2 linked regions of the Elephas maximus indicus genome follow. The protein of the gene in region 2 interacts with the protein of the main gene of each other region in a pairwise test. Links are inferred from orthologs where the notes say so. Each region holds a gene or a part of one and is shown on either strand. Other genes may lie near its edges.

What was found. The genes of interacting proteins can lie anywhere in the genome.
Region 1: the proteins of TCL1A (region 2) and TTC33 interact in binary tests that used the Homo sapiens proteins (3 or more experiments, as listed by UniProt). The two-hybrid records come from large-scale screens. The link is inferred for Elephas maximus indicus from reciprocal best matches to the Homo sapiens genes TCL1A and TTC33.

Annotation. Positions count from the first base shown.
Region 1 is NC_064820.1:46,838,629-46,845,618, forward strand, and holds the start of TTC33 (tetratricopeptide repeat protein 33), read right to left. Parts: upstream 3,049-6,990; 5' UTR 3,032-3,048; coding exon 3,027-3,031; exon of another isoform or gene 2,984-3,026; intron 2,979-2,983; exon of another isoform or gene 2,649-2,978; intron 1,204-2,648; exon of another isoform or gene 1,105-1,203; intron 1-1,104.
Region 2 is NC_064828.1:109,306,449-109,314,518, forward strand, and holds the start of TCL1A (T-cell leukemia/lymphoma protein 1A), read right to left. Parts: upstream 3,062-8,070; coding exon 2,942-3,061; intron 1-2,941. UniProt on the Homo sapiens protein: Enhances the phosphorylation and activation of AKT1, AKT2 and AKT3. Promotes nuclear translocation of AKT1. Enhances cell proliferation, stabilizes mitochondrial membrane potential and promotes cell survival.

The DNA of each region.
Region 1 (6,990 bases), on a different chromosome or scaffold from region 2:
ACACAGGAGAATCAATTTCATATATTTAAAGACAACTGCAAGTACCCTGGGGAATAACCAAGAAATGGCTGAAAATGGAAGTGTGATGTATGGGGAACAGAAGTGTTGGGGCACAGTGTGAAGACAAACGTCAAGGAATGTATCATTAGGAAGGTCTCACAAGACATTGGGATAAGCCAAGATAAAAAAGAAGTCTTACATTTATGACTGTCCCTAAGGGTAACCGGGAATGAGGATGATCAATTTTTCTGGCTTCAAGCTTGCAAATGGAACTTTTTTTCTATATCAGCAAGCTGAGGCTCCAGGCATGTAAGAAGCCTTTTTAATACTACCAAATGTAATCTTGGTACGTTTACTGAAGACAAATTACATTACGAATCACTAGCAAAGTTTGTAGATTATTGGAAGCAGAACAGAATGGAAAGGAAAGGAAAAATGCATAATTCTAGACACCTATACTTTTTAAAGGATTAATAGGTCATTCAGACTCCCACTACCCTCCCCTATCCTCCAACTTTACCATTGTTATAAATGCTGAAGACAAGGATAGGTTCAGACTTCAGGTGGTGGTTCTCAACCAGGTATGAAAGACACACACACACACACACACACACGCTGCCACCTCAGGTGTTTCTGCAGTTCTTCCTTACAAATCCCTTGACACCTTCTAGATATTAGAAGCTGGTGAAGCAGGACAAAAGGAAGTTCTAGGGGTATAGAAGGCCTGATAACACTAGCAAATCAAAGTTTACCTGTGAAGACAGAAACAAGAATACATTCCTCTAACATAGAAAATAAGGAGTTAAGGAGTCAGAATTGACTAGAAAGCAATGGGTTTGATTTTTGGTTTTTTGAGTAAAAGCATAGGCAAGTTCAGTGGTGGAAGAAAGGAAAGTAGGGGATTTCACATCCCATGGCTTCACATTTCTCAGGGATGTAGGTGGCTAATCATCTGCTCAAAATAAATGGATCTGAGCAGTTAAGAAGAATGGAAAAGATCTGAAATAGACACTGTGGAAAATAGGAAGAGCAACAATAAGGGATGAGTAAAGATATCAATCTATATCAGCGATCTACTGAGATTAAAAAGCATAAATCTGTTACCAAGTCCATTACTGTGGTTTTAGATTTTCTTCAAAACTGTCTGGAGACCAGAAGTATACATTCAGTTACAACACAGGATAGGCGCTATAAGAGAAGAAACAAAAGACGCTATGGCTGAAGCAGTCGCATCATTAGAGGGGTGACACTGTCAGCGGGGATGACAACAAAATGACTATCTGTAAAACTTTTGTGCAGTATTTCAGCAGAAATTTATTACTTTTTATAAGAACATCCCTGTAGTTACAGCAACAAAAATATTTTTTGTAAACCCAGCTTATGTATCAATATACCTGCACAGTTAAAACTCTATGCTAATTTACTTTTTCAGCCTTGTATCGCGCTCCGATTAGAGTTGTCATTATTACCCAATTACGATGACGTTTTGAATCATGTAGTTTAGAGCTGTTGTTTTCGTTGCTGGTGTTTTTATAGTTGCTGATTTTGTCAAATTCTCTGGTGTTTTAGCTACAATATTGTGGTAATTAGTATTTATGAACCTGTATCAATAACTTTTTTGAGAATGAAGTAGTAATTAAAAGAAAAAAAATGAGTGATATATGGGAATTACAATTTATGAGTAGCAGTACAAAAAACATTATTAAGGATTCTGTATGGTCTGGTACCAGAGGAGGTCCACGAGGAGGGGAGGGGGAGGGAAGGTGACACAATGAGTTACCACATCGGGTAACACTAATTCTAGTGACGCCACTGCCTGAAGGCCAAAAGTTTTGAAGACTAAAACTTAGCCCTCCTGGAAGGGAGAGTCCTACAGGAGAGAAGTAATACATGCAGGAACACTTTACACCTTGGAAATTTCAACGCTCTGAGTTAACTCAGATATCTGAAATGTTAATAAGGGTTTTGCTTTTCTATTCGAACGGACCCAGCGACTCCATGTGAGAGAGGTCTAGCCATCAGCTCCGGTAAAGATTACAGCCTAGGAAACCCTATGGGGCAGTTCTACTCTGTCACAGGGGGTCGCTATGAGTGGACTCATCCGGACCGAACAACAACACTGTTCTTCTAAGGCTATCTGAACATGAAATTAAAGTTTTTTTATAACAGAGGTATTCCTGGTATAGTTAGATGCACAAGGAGCCAATATCCAACCATTTACATTTTTTCACCAGGATAAGAAATCATTAAATCACAATCACATGAGCTTCACGCAAATCCAACAGTTTATACAGATTTGTATTTAATGAATGCCAAAGGAAAAAAAATCTAAAAAACGACATTGTATTCTGCAACCATAAGTCAGAAAACGCTCATCTCGGCTGCCTCAACGAATGCAGCACTCCAGGCAAGAAACGAAAAGATAAAGTCGACCGGAAATCCTAACAAGCAATCCTTCCGGGCACCGGGATGTGTTTCGATGTGAGGAATTCAAGAAATGATTTAACCCAAGATACCGCCACAAGAAAGAAACCAGTACTAGCTTTTCCTTCACCGGGATATAACAATAAACATGTGGAAAGTGCACAATAAAGACTGCCCTGGAGGTCACCCGCGTGTTCACTAGGCCCGCCCTCAATCCCACACACCTTCCACACGGGGTGGCAAGCAAGCTCCTTCGCTCTCCTCCCACAACTCGGGGGTCAAAGCCGCAGCGCCCGCCTCGGAAGCGTTGAGCGGGCCCAGGCAACGAGGAAGACGGAGCCCGATCCCCGACTCGCTTGTCTCTGGAGACCAACCTTAGTGTCTCGGTTCTGCCACACCCCTCGTAGAGTCTTAATTTCGAGTTTTGAAGCTTCTCTCTCTCCTAACCACACTGCGATTCACCTTGTTTCCCTCCTCGTCGTTCAACTTTAACCGCGACCCGGGCAGCCCCGGTTACCTGATGACCACTCCCGTGGTCCAGTATTTACATTCCGCTTACCCTTTGCCCACAGGAAGCGGAAGTTATCTTGCCCAGCTCTTACTTCATTGCCCGAAGTGCCTGGTTTCCTAGGAAACGGAGTTGGCCGACTCAGGGCGTCCGAACGGCCCAGAGTAGAAGGCGGGAGAGAGGCGACACTCGGGGGCGCTCTCGTCCGCCAATCTCTGCACTAGGACCACAAATCCCAGAAGCCACTGCGCTCCCCCGGCCGCATTATCCTCGGGGATTTGTAGTGCGGCCGTCCGGGCCGGGAGCGCCATCTGCAGCCCGGAGCGACCGACAGGCCAGGGTCCGCAGTGCGGGAGCGCAGCAAATTCGGCTGCGCTAGCTGAGGTGCGCGCAGAGAGAAGCAGCCCTGGCCTTCCCGCGCGGCCCGCCCAGTCGGAGGGTAAAGCTAGCAAGGCGCGAGAAAGACGATTTTTAGGGGGTTTCAGAGGAGTTTACAACCTAGCTGAGGAGGCGGGCCAGACGCAGAGAACAGAGAGCAAAACTCGATTGAAAAAGGTTTAAAGAAGGGCGAGGTCAGGGAGGGCAGGGTTGAACTGTAGGCATCACGTGGGCACTAACAGATTGGATCCAGCAGAGAATTATCACCTGAAGGTAACAATGGTTAATGTCTTGAAAATAACTAAGTGGGCAAATGTAGCACAGATAAATGTTCAGGAAGCTTAAAAGTTGTTAGGTGCCATGGAGGCGTTTCCCACTCGAGCAACCCTGTGTACAACAGAACGGAACACTGCCCGGTCCTTGCCATCTTCACAGTCGTTGCTATGTTTGAGTCCAGCGTTGCAGCCACTGCATCAGTCCATCTCATTGAGGGTCTTCCTCTTTCACTGACCCCTCTACTTTATCAAGCATGACGTCCTTCTCCAGGGATTGGTCCCTCGAGTAACATGTCCAAAGTACTGAGACAAGTCTCTCTATCCTTGATTCTAAGGAGCTTTCTGGTTGAACTTCTTCCAGGACAGATTTGTTCATTCTTCTGGCAGTTAATGGTGTATATTCAGTATTCTTTTCCCATAATTATTTTCCAATAATTCAAAGGCATCAATTTTCAATCTTCCATATTCATCGTCCACCTTTTGCATGTGTATGAGGCAATTAAAAATACCATGGCTTCGGTCAGGCACACCTTAGTCCTCAAAGTGACATCTTTGCTTTTTAGCACTTTAAGGAGATCTTTTGCAGCAGATTTGCCCAATGCAATTGTTTTTTGAATTCTTGACTGCCACTTCCATGGATGTTGATTGTGGATCTAAATAAAATGAAATCTTTGACAACTTCAGTATTTTCTCTGTTTATCATGACGTTGCATATTGGTCCAGTTGTGAGGATTTTTGTTTTATGTTGAGGCATAATCCATACTGAAGGCTGTGGTCTTTGATCTTCATTATTTTAAGTGGTTCAAGTACTCTTCACTTTGAGCAAGCAAGGTTGTGTCATCTGCGTAACGCAGGTTGTTAATGAGTCTTCTTCCAATCCTGATGCCCTGTTGTTCTTCATATAGTCCAGCTTCTGGAATTATTTGCTCAGTATGCAGATTGAATGAGTATGGTGAAAGGATACAGCTCTGACGCACACCTTTTCTGACTTTAAACCATGTAGCATCCCCTTGTTTTGCTTGAAGGACTGACTTCTTGGTCTGTGTACAGGTTCTACATGAGCACAATAAAGTGTTCTACGTGAGCACAATAAAGTGTTCTGTAATTCCCATTCTCCACAGTGTCATCCATAATTTGTTAGGATTCACACAATTCATTGCCTTTGCACAGTCATAAAACACAGGTAAACATTTTTCTGATATTGTCTGTTTTCAGCAAAGATCTGACATCAGTAATGATATCCCTCATTCCAAGTCCTCTTCTGAGTCCAGCTTGAGTATCTGGCAATTCCTTGATGTACTGCTGCAACTGTTTTTGAATTATCTTCAGCAAAATTTTACTTGCATGTGATATTAATGATATTGTTCAATAATTTCCATGTTCTGTTTTCTTTGGAATGGGCACAAATACGGATTTCTTCCAGTCGGTTGGCCAGGTAGCTGTCTTCCGAATTTCTTGGCATACATGAGTGAGTACTTCCAGTGTTGCATCCGTTTGTTAAACATCTCAATTGGTATTCCATCAATTCCTGGGGCCTTGTTTTTCGCCAGTGCCTTCAGTGCAGCATAGACTTCTTCCCTTCAGTACCACCAGTTCTCGATCATATGCTGCCTCTCGAGGTGGTTGTTACTTTACCCATGTAGCTATCTTGTGCAAGAGAAGGCAATTTTTGTAGACCATTTACTTAAATACCACACTATTGACATTTTGGGCAAATATTTCTTTGTAGCGGGGGCTGCCCTGTGCATTGTAGAGTGTTTAGTAGCTTCCCTGGTTTACTGGCATCCCAGTAGATGCACACACACACACACACACACACACACACCCTGCAGTTGTGACAACCAAAAATGTCTCCAGACATTTCCAACTAGAAGTGTGGGGAGGTGTCATCTCCTCCTCCCCCTGCCTTTTTGAGAACCACCGATGTGGGGCAATGATTCTCAAAGTGTAAGCCTCAGACTCCTGAGTTTCGCCGAGACCACTTTAGTAGTCCTCCAAGTCACAACTTTCATACTAATAGGAAGATATGATTTATTAAAATGACTCAAGTAAACATCTTTTTAACATTGTGTGACAAAATGGGAAGTACTCAAAAGCACTTCTTCTGCATTCTGAAGTACAGTGTTGTCTCAAGGAAAACACCTGTGACACTGCACTATAAACTAGACTTTTCCCATAGAATACAACATTCAGAAGAATGAATGACAGACTGGTTATTTGACAGGCCCTTTCTTAAAAATGAACAAAGGGACCCTGTTACCTCAAGAAAAACAATTGACAACACTTGTTGCTAATGATAAAATTCAAGGTTCTAAGTAATAAACAGAATTTTGGAAAACTTACATTCATCATCCTGATCTTGACAGCTTCTTGATACTTCAGTACTTTTCTAATGACATCTGTGGTAATATTATCAGATATGATTTTTATTTATATTGTTTGATGAAATGTGTTAACATTTGGAAGACTGCATAAGGAAACTCAATGGATGATTGTAGGTGTCAGCTTCCAAGGCCTCCAAGGATCCTACCGCCTGGTATTCACAACCTGGTGTAGTTCTGTCCCACATGTACCAGGATTGGTCTGTATTACATATAAAATAGAGCAGAAATGATATATATCACTTCAGAGATTAGTCATAAAAGACACTCAAGTGAGGACAGTGTTTCTTAATCTAGGTCATTTTACATGACCATCTCCACTGAAAATTCAACCTGAATACTAACGACTTGTGCATTCTTCTGTATATACCTCTATTAGGTTTTTTTTTTTTTAAATACGTATCTCCTTAACAAACTCCTCAGCAAGATTGTCTTATTTATAGTCACATTCATAGTGCTTGGTTTATAGTAACCATATGCAATGATATAGTTTACAGAAAATGGATAATAGTGCTTGGAGCTCAACCCCTTTCTAGGGGTCTTTCCAAAATCTCTCAAATAACTGATCCACTCCGCTCTGGTAAAGGCTACCCCCTACTAGGATTTTACACTGCACCCACCACTTGCTACTTACTTTAGTCTATGATCTTAATGCACCTGTTGGTATATTTAATGTTTCCTGTGCTGTCTTTTTATAGACATCATGATCATCTTCCAAGTTGCGAGTAATCCTCTAAATTTGTCATACCTAACATTTATTCACATTTATAATGTGCTCAGCACTTGGAACAGTTCAATAAATATTAGCTACTATAACAAATATTATTTTTCAAACAAAAGAATTTTTTGTATGATTTGACACAGTCAGGGTAAATACCTAGAACAATTTGTAAATTCCCTCACTGAACAGCCTTATATGCTGTTTGGAGCCCTGCTGGCACAGTGGTTAAGAGCACAGCTGCCAACCTAAAAAAAAAAAAAACCTAACGGTCACTTCAAATCCACCAGCCACTCCTTGGAAACC
Region 2 (8,070 bases):
CCCTCAAGCTTCCTAACAGCGCACTTTAGGTGCCTATTTCAGCCTTCATGGGCTATTCTTTATCTTGTCATATTTCTTCTTTTAAATAAGATATCCCTGGACCCTAGGATCTGGTGGCAGGCTGCTTTCCACCACCTCTAACTCTCACCACCAGCACCTCTCATCTGAACTACCGCAGTAGCTCTGTAAGTCACCGCCTGGTGCTCCACGGTCAGTTCTCTGCACAGCAGCCAGGGTGAGCGTCTAAAAACCACACCACTCCCCTGCTCAACACCCTCTGATGGCCCAGTCCCAGGCAGAATGAGTGGAAATCTTTACCACACCACACAAAAACCCACACTGCCGGGCCCCTGCCTCCCTCCTCTCTTGTGGCTCTGTCCTTCACTCTCCACCCTGTCCTGGCCACACAGGCCCCCTCTCAATTTCTCGAACACGCCACACTCATGTCTGCTCTCAGGATCCCTTGCACCTGCTGTCCTCTATGCCTGGAACATTCTCCCCCAGATCTAGGCAGGGTAACACCCTTCTTTTAGGCAGGTCTCTGCTCAACTGTATAAAAGTTCTTGGGTGGTGCAAACGATTTGTGCTCAAATACTAACCTAAAGGTTGGCAGTTCAAACCCGCCCTGTGGCACCACAGAAGACAGTCCTGGAGATATGCTTTCGTAAAGACTACAGCCCAAGAAAACCCTACGGAGCAGTTCTACTCTGTAGCACGTGGGGTTGCCGTAAGTCAGAATCGACGCAGTGGCTAAAGGTCTGGTTTTGATTTGGTTTCTGCTCAAATGTATGTATATAGAGACAAACATAATAGGAAACAATATGGCAGAACTGAGACCAGACTCATCAGTTATATCAGTAACTGACAATGAGTTCAATTCACCAATCAAAATGAATGAGCTCAGCAAATCCAACTCTATGACTATGTAAGAGCATCCCTACAACATGGAGATTCAGAAAGTTTACAAAGAAAACGACGGGCAAAAGAACATTAAGACCCTCAGAGGGGTCTTGCCTGAAGACCCCCACATCACTCACTGTCTCCTCCCACCCCACTCTAATTCTCCTACAGAACTTACCACCAGCTTAAGAGCTATTTTTTTATCCATCTCTCCCAGCAGACTGTCAGCTTCACAAGCACTGAGATTTTATCACATTTAATGTGTGCCCCAGAGCCTAGAACCCTGCCTGACATGATACTTAGCACTCACATTTGTTTAATGAACAATTTTTCAAAGTGGAAATAGTCTTATTTTCTGTGAAAGAAACTAATGCTCACTGTTAAAAAATTATTCAGATCACACTGCAAGATGTAAGTGTGGGTATCACTATTCTTGCCTTGTTAGTGTTTCTTATTGATTTAAGTAAACCTTTATATATGAAGAATAGTGGTTCTTTTAGTCATGTGTGGCAAATCTCACTCTACTCCTCTTCAGTTTGCTACTGGGTTACTTTCCATGCAGAATTTATACTGATTTTGTGGAAAACTCTGTCTAGTTCTTGGTTTCAGTGTCATGTTCAAGAAGATATTCTCCAGAGATTAAAAAAAAAAAAATACATTCACCTAAATTTTCTTCAAATATTTGAATTAAAAAGTAAATATTTAACTTGATTTTTTAAAGTATATATATATATATATATATATATGCATGCTTTTGAAATTAAAATATAAATTAATACCAAGTTTAGAAGGCGGTTAAGAGCCTGGAATTCCAACCCCTTTACCTACTATCTGTGCTACCTTGGACAAGTTTACATTTTTATGCCTCAGTTTCATCATCTGTAAAGTGGGGACAGAGTCAACACTCAATAACTTTTTGCTGTTTGCTATATTACATGAATGTTCTACTCTATATTTTAATTCACTTTTATACTTTCTTCACTCTACATATGGAAAATTTTCAGTATTTTTCACCTTTGGGGAAACCAAGGCTCTGGTGGAAGGCACTTGCAAAAGAGTTATATTTCTTTAAGAAGAAATTCGCATTAGCTAAGGATCCATCGTAAAGCATCAGGGGTAAAACAAAGTCAACGTTTATTCCACACCAGCCTTTTTAGTAAGGTATTACGCGTTAAATCGGCTTCCTCCAAAGCATAGAGAAGGTATAAAACACCCCATCCTCTGGGAGTGGTTCCCAAACTTAAGCCCCAGAAAACCAAACCCACTGCCATCAAGTCGATTCTGAATCATATCGACCCTACAGGACAGAGTAGAACTGCCCTCACAGGGTTTCCAAGGAGCGGACGGTGGATTCAAACTGCCGACCTTTTAGTTAGCGGCCTGAGCTCTTAACCACTAGCCGAATCAATCTATTGAGGGTACTTTTTAAAACACGTATTTCTGGGGCCCACACCAGGAGGGTCTGATAACCGGCCAGGCGTAGGAGTCACTTACTCCCTTACTTTAGAGAGATATTATTCTCATTTGGCAGAGAGGTTAAAAGCTCAGGTACTAACCAAAAGGTCGGTAGTTCAAATCCACCAGCCGCTCCTTGGAAACCCTACGGGGCAGTTCTACCACGTCCTATAGGGTCGCTACGAGTTGGAATCAACTCCACGGCAACGGGTTTGGGTTTTTTTTTGGAACCTGAAGCCCAGAGAAGTCCTGTCTTAACCAAGATCATATTCACACATGCCAGAGCCACTGGGTCCTCATCCGTTAGCCTCCATACCTTTGAGTAATCACCACCCTCCTTCCTGGCCTGGAGAACTCCTACTCATCCTTCAGAACCCTGCTCTATAAGTGGTTTCATCTGCGAAGCCTGGGCTGCCCTTTGTTAATCAGACCCCTTCCAAGCCTTCCTGCCACCACCCTCGCTGCCGGACCGGGGCTCCTCAAAGGCCCAGCCCAGCCTGGGGCATCTCCAGCTCCGGGGGGCCCCGCCGGGAAGGCAACGAGCGCCCATACAGTCCTGCCTGCCTCTGCCTGAAGCGGGCTGTACCTCCATGATTATGGGCAGCCAGGCGTGCTGGTTCTCGTCCAAATACACGGCCTTCTCCCAGAACCACAGGCGGTCCGGGTGCAAGACCGACTGCGCACTGGAGCGCCGCTGCTGGGCCATGGAGCCTGGGGCAGTCAAGGAGGACAAGCACGGCGCCACTCGCCGCCACTCGCTGATCGGAGGGATGCACGGCCCCGACGCATTTATAGCGGACCTCGCACAGCGCCCCCAGGTGGCGGGGCGGGAGGAGGGCGGGGCGCGAGGCGGAGAGTGGGGCGGGGCGGAGGGCGGGGCGGAGCGGAAAAGGGCAGGGTGTGGCGGGAGAAAGGGGTGAGCCGGCGAGGAGTGGCGCGGGCGTGGCTGTGCCCTCGAGTAAGATCGGGGGCAGCCCTGAGGCCCAGGCCCCAGCCCCAGGGGTTCCTGGAGTTCCCAGCCAGCCGTCCCGCCCAGCCCCCACACCCCACTGCTGGCCGGGTACCTTGCTCTATGACCCTGGTCCTTTCTGCTGTCGCGAGGCGCCGTTGTGGCGTCAGGACCCCACTGTCCGGAACCACTGCGTGTGGCTGGTCAAGCCAACCCTGGACTGGGGGCTCCAGGCCTCTGCTGAACTCGCAGGCTACCCTTGACCCCAGGCACCTGGAGCCAGTGGCCCTCCAACTCTTCTGGGCCTGAAAGCCCCTGCGGCCTGACCCAGGCCTCGGCTTCCCTGGCTCACAGAATCTGTGTCCTTGGCAACACTGCAATTCTTGAAGTGCCCCCTCCGCCCAGGCACACATTTTCCACGGCTTTGATGATGCTGTGGTTGTCTAATAGCTATTGTGAAACAAGGTGATGAAGAAACATGGGCCGTTCCCTTTATAGGCTCTGAATTCATTAGAGAAAGCGTAGCTCAAAATGAATGCTTGGAAAGAAACCCCTCCGCCCCAAGATCAATGGAGTTGAAAAGTCCCTGGGTTATGTGATCAAACTGTCCCTGGAAGTTACAGCAAATAAGGAAAATAATTTCACTTCATGTTGGAGTAACACATGCCCATTAAGACAATTAAGAACATAAAGGACAAGGGAAAAAATGTGAAACCATTTCCAGCCTCTTTGCTGAAATAGCATGACTGGTCACGGTTGGGTGCCTGGCCTTTCAGTTCTCTCCCATCTTTCTGATTAAAAAAAAAAAAAATTGCCACCAAGTCATTTCTGACTCATGGCCACCCTGTGTGTGCAGATTAGAACTGCCTTCCTTAGCCTTCCTTAGGGTTTTCAAGGTGGTGACCTTTCAGAAGCAGATCACCAGGCTTTCTTTCAAGGCCCCCCTGAGTGGGTTGGAACCACAACCTTTCGGCTAGTAGTCATTTGCACTGCCCAGGGACTCCTTTCTGACTGGGCACCAAGAAAATAATTTGGGATCCTTTGAAATGTCGTAAAGGTGAAAATGAGTTTGATGTCTGATCCCCTGACAGCAAAGGTGAGTATTTGCTTCTCCGCGTATCCAGCTAGCCTAATTCCCAAGAATGAGCTGAGGTAGCCTGAGGTAATAGCGATATGATTGGATTTACCGGGAGCACAACAGAAGACAAAAGCCTAACAAAGCTCTTTCCAAGTGAAGCCCATAGTGGTGTTGGCATTTAATATTCAGACTGCTGGCTTTCAGGCTGAATTCCCTGTGGACCGTCCTTGACTAAATAGCCACTGGGAGTGAGATGAGATGAAAATGGTGGGAACAGGCTCTATGGGGGAAGTCGCAGCCTGGTCCAGAGCTTTGAGGTCAGAAATGATAGCAAGTTCCAGCTTAAGCAGCACCTCTGGCGTGGACTCTTGTGGCAATTAAGGAGCATCCAGGAGCCAGTGTGGCTACTGACCCAGTCACCTCATTTGCCCCAGGACTCACTGGGTCAGCTGTTCTAATTAGCACTCACTCTGCTTTTGGAGAATCAGAGGCCTTTTGGCTGGATAAGCTTGCGAATCTTCCAGGAATGAGGTTCCCTCCCCGCACCTCCACCACCCTTTGGAAGGACAATGTATTTCTTCAGTTTCACACTGGGGCGTCTTAGTATTAAGCAAAAGTATATGTTATTCCTGTGCGGGACTTAGAAAATTATTTGAGAATGGGTTCCAAAAAATGAAAAGTAAAATAAGGATGGCCCAGAAGGTTAATGGTTTCTCTGGCGTCTTTGAGCCTTTTTCATGGAAATTCCACAGGAGGGGAAACAATAGCCATTGTGTAGTCCTGGGGAACTGGGAATGTGTGTGTGTGTGGGAGCCTCCAGCATGTTATCTACATCATCTTAGGGCTTTCAGTCTATTCCTTGGTAACTTTGTCCTTTAATGGTCTGCGAGGTTCCCCCGAGAATAATCAAGTGGATGTTCTGTGAAGAAAATAACCCAAAACAGTTATTTTGACTCATATTGACAGAATCCTTAACTGATGCCCTCATGTCTTGACTTGGACCCAGTGTTGACTTTGCTACTACCACCTGTGAACTTGGCAGAACCTCTGCCGTCTGGGCCATACTTTTGTAATGAATGGACCAAGCTAGATATGCTCTAAACCCATTTTCAACTCAACCATGATGAAGTTGCCTATTGGGAAGTGAGAATAGACAAAAGCTGGACAAGCTCATGATATTAGTTCAGGAATGTCATGAGCAGAGTGGACATTAAGGCCCTCAGTGGAATTCACTCTTCGGGAGTGAGGAAGCCATCCTTCCTGTTTGGGTTCCAAAGAAGGATGCTGAGGGTGAGTCGTGGCCATAGTATTATCTAGAGCCTTGTTCCTCTAAGTGTGTTCCCTAGACCAGCAACCATTGTCCATCAGAAGGGGCGGCACCAAAATGACTCTCCATAAAATTTTCGTCAGTGTTCCAGTAGAAATTTATTATTTTTTATAAAAATATCACTGTAGTTAGTTACAACAACAAAAACATTTTTTGTAAACCCAGCTTACAGGTATCAATATACCTACAAGGCTGAAACTCTATGCTAATTTACTTTTGAGCCTGTTAATGCCCTCAGGTCAGAGCCGCCATTATTACTCAATTACAATGATGCTTTCAATCACATGGTTTTGCCCACAGGTGCTACAAGCACACACTTGTTTTCGTTGCTGCTGGTATTTTTATAGCCTCTGATTTTGTCAAATTTTCTGATGTTTTAGCTACAATATTGTGGTAATTAGTATTTGTGAACTTATATCAATAACTCTTTTGAGAAGAAAGTAGTAATTAAAGGAAAAGGAGTGATATACCAAAATTATGATTTATGTACAAAAACATTGCAAAGGATTCTGTATGGTCTGGTATGGGAGGAGGTCCATGCAGGGGTGACACCATGAGTAATTGCACTGAGTAACACCAATCCTAGTGACGCCACTGCCAGCAACATCAGCATCACCTGGAGCTTATGAGAATTGCAGAGCCTTGAGGCCCACTGCAGACCTGCTGAGTCATAATCTGTGTTTTAACAAGATCCCTGAGTGAGTCGTGGGCACATTTAGTGCTGGTCTAGGGGAACAATTAGGGGGAAGTGGCGGTGGGTGTCTGTCTCATGCCATCAGTGCTCTCTAGAGTTCTTTAACTATGACGCAGGAATTGAATAGGTATCTCTGTATCATTTAGTTCCCGGTTATCTTTTGTTATGTTAAAATCACTTCCAATATATACTGTTTTCCTCTTAAGAGAAAATCCTGGCAATTAAGGTCCTCTTAACCAATTTCAATGATTGTAGCTAGCTGTAAAGACTCTACGTAGAGGTTACTAAGGTGTCCCTGCCTCTGGGCCCCTACGCTGATTGGCCCTAAACCACTAGGCCAGTGCAATCCTGGCTGCCTATTAGAAACACCTGGAAAGTGTTGATAAACTACCTGATCCTCGACCCCAACCCAAACCAATTAAATTAGAATCTTTGCGTGATAAGGCTTGGGGAACAGCCAGGGTTGAGAGCCAATCCCACACCCTAAGATTTGGGTTACTGTTTTTGAGGTGTGAATGAGGTTTGTAAAACGAAATAACCGTGAAAATTTTAGAGCTGTTCTGGTCCTCAATGTAAACCTCACCCTGACCTGTAGTCTATATCTTTCCCTTTGCTCTAGTTTAAATTTGTTGCTTCCAATCTTTTCTGGGCAGTGAAACATAGCATCAAATTTATTAGGATTGTAATCTCTCCAATGAGTAAAACACAGAAGCCCTGAGATGTAGAACCTAAGGCATCCATACTTGTCACCTGGGGTCTTTTTTCAAGGATTCTTGGGTCTGGGCCATATTTTGGATAATTGAGACTGTTGATCATATGAGCACAGTTTGAAAAAATAGTTATAATCTTTACCCATAAGAGATAAAATTCTATTTCTAAATTAACGGGCAATCTGGGATGACAAGGATATTCTGCACAGAGCTCAGACTGACCATAGCTTTGGCCACTGCATGGCTATGATCTTTCTTTAAACTGAACAGAGTTTTAAGTGCTTCTCAAACCTTAGAGAAGTTTGAGAACCCCCAGGTGTCTGTCAGTTTGTCGTACTGTGGGGGCTTGCGTATTGCTGCGATGCTGGAAGCTGTGCCACCAGTATTCAAATACCAGCAGGGCCATCCATGGCAGACAGGTTTCAGCTAAGCTTCCAGACTAAGACAGACTAGGAATAAGGACTGGTGGTCTACTTCCGAAAAGAATTAGCCAGTGAAAACCTTCTGAATTATATATGATCAGGAACCAGGGGTACTTTAGGAAGAAGTCCAAGCTGCACTGAAGGCATTCGTGAAAAACAAGTATCCCGGGAATTGACGGGATACCAACTGAGATGTTTCAGCAAACACATGCGGTGCTAGAAGCACTCACTCATCTACGTGGAGAAATTTGGAAGACAGCTACCTGGCCAACTGACTGGAAGAGATCTACACTTGTGCCCATTTCAAAGAAAGGTGATCCAACTGAATGAGGACGTTACCAAATAATATCATTAATATCACGTGCAAGTGAAATATTACTGAAGATAATTCAAAAATGATTGCAGCAGTTCAGGTGGACACTGGAGAGCATGTTGGCAACTCTTGACTGGAGGGGGGATGGGAAGATAGAAAGAGAGGGAAGACGGCAAAATTGGCACGAAACGAGAGACTGAAAGGGCTGACTCAATAGGGGGA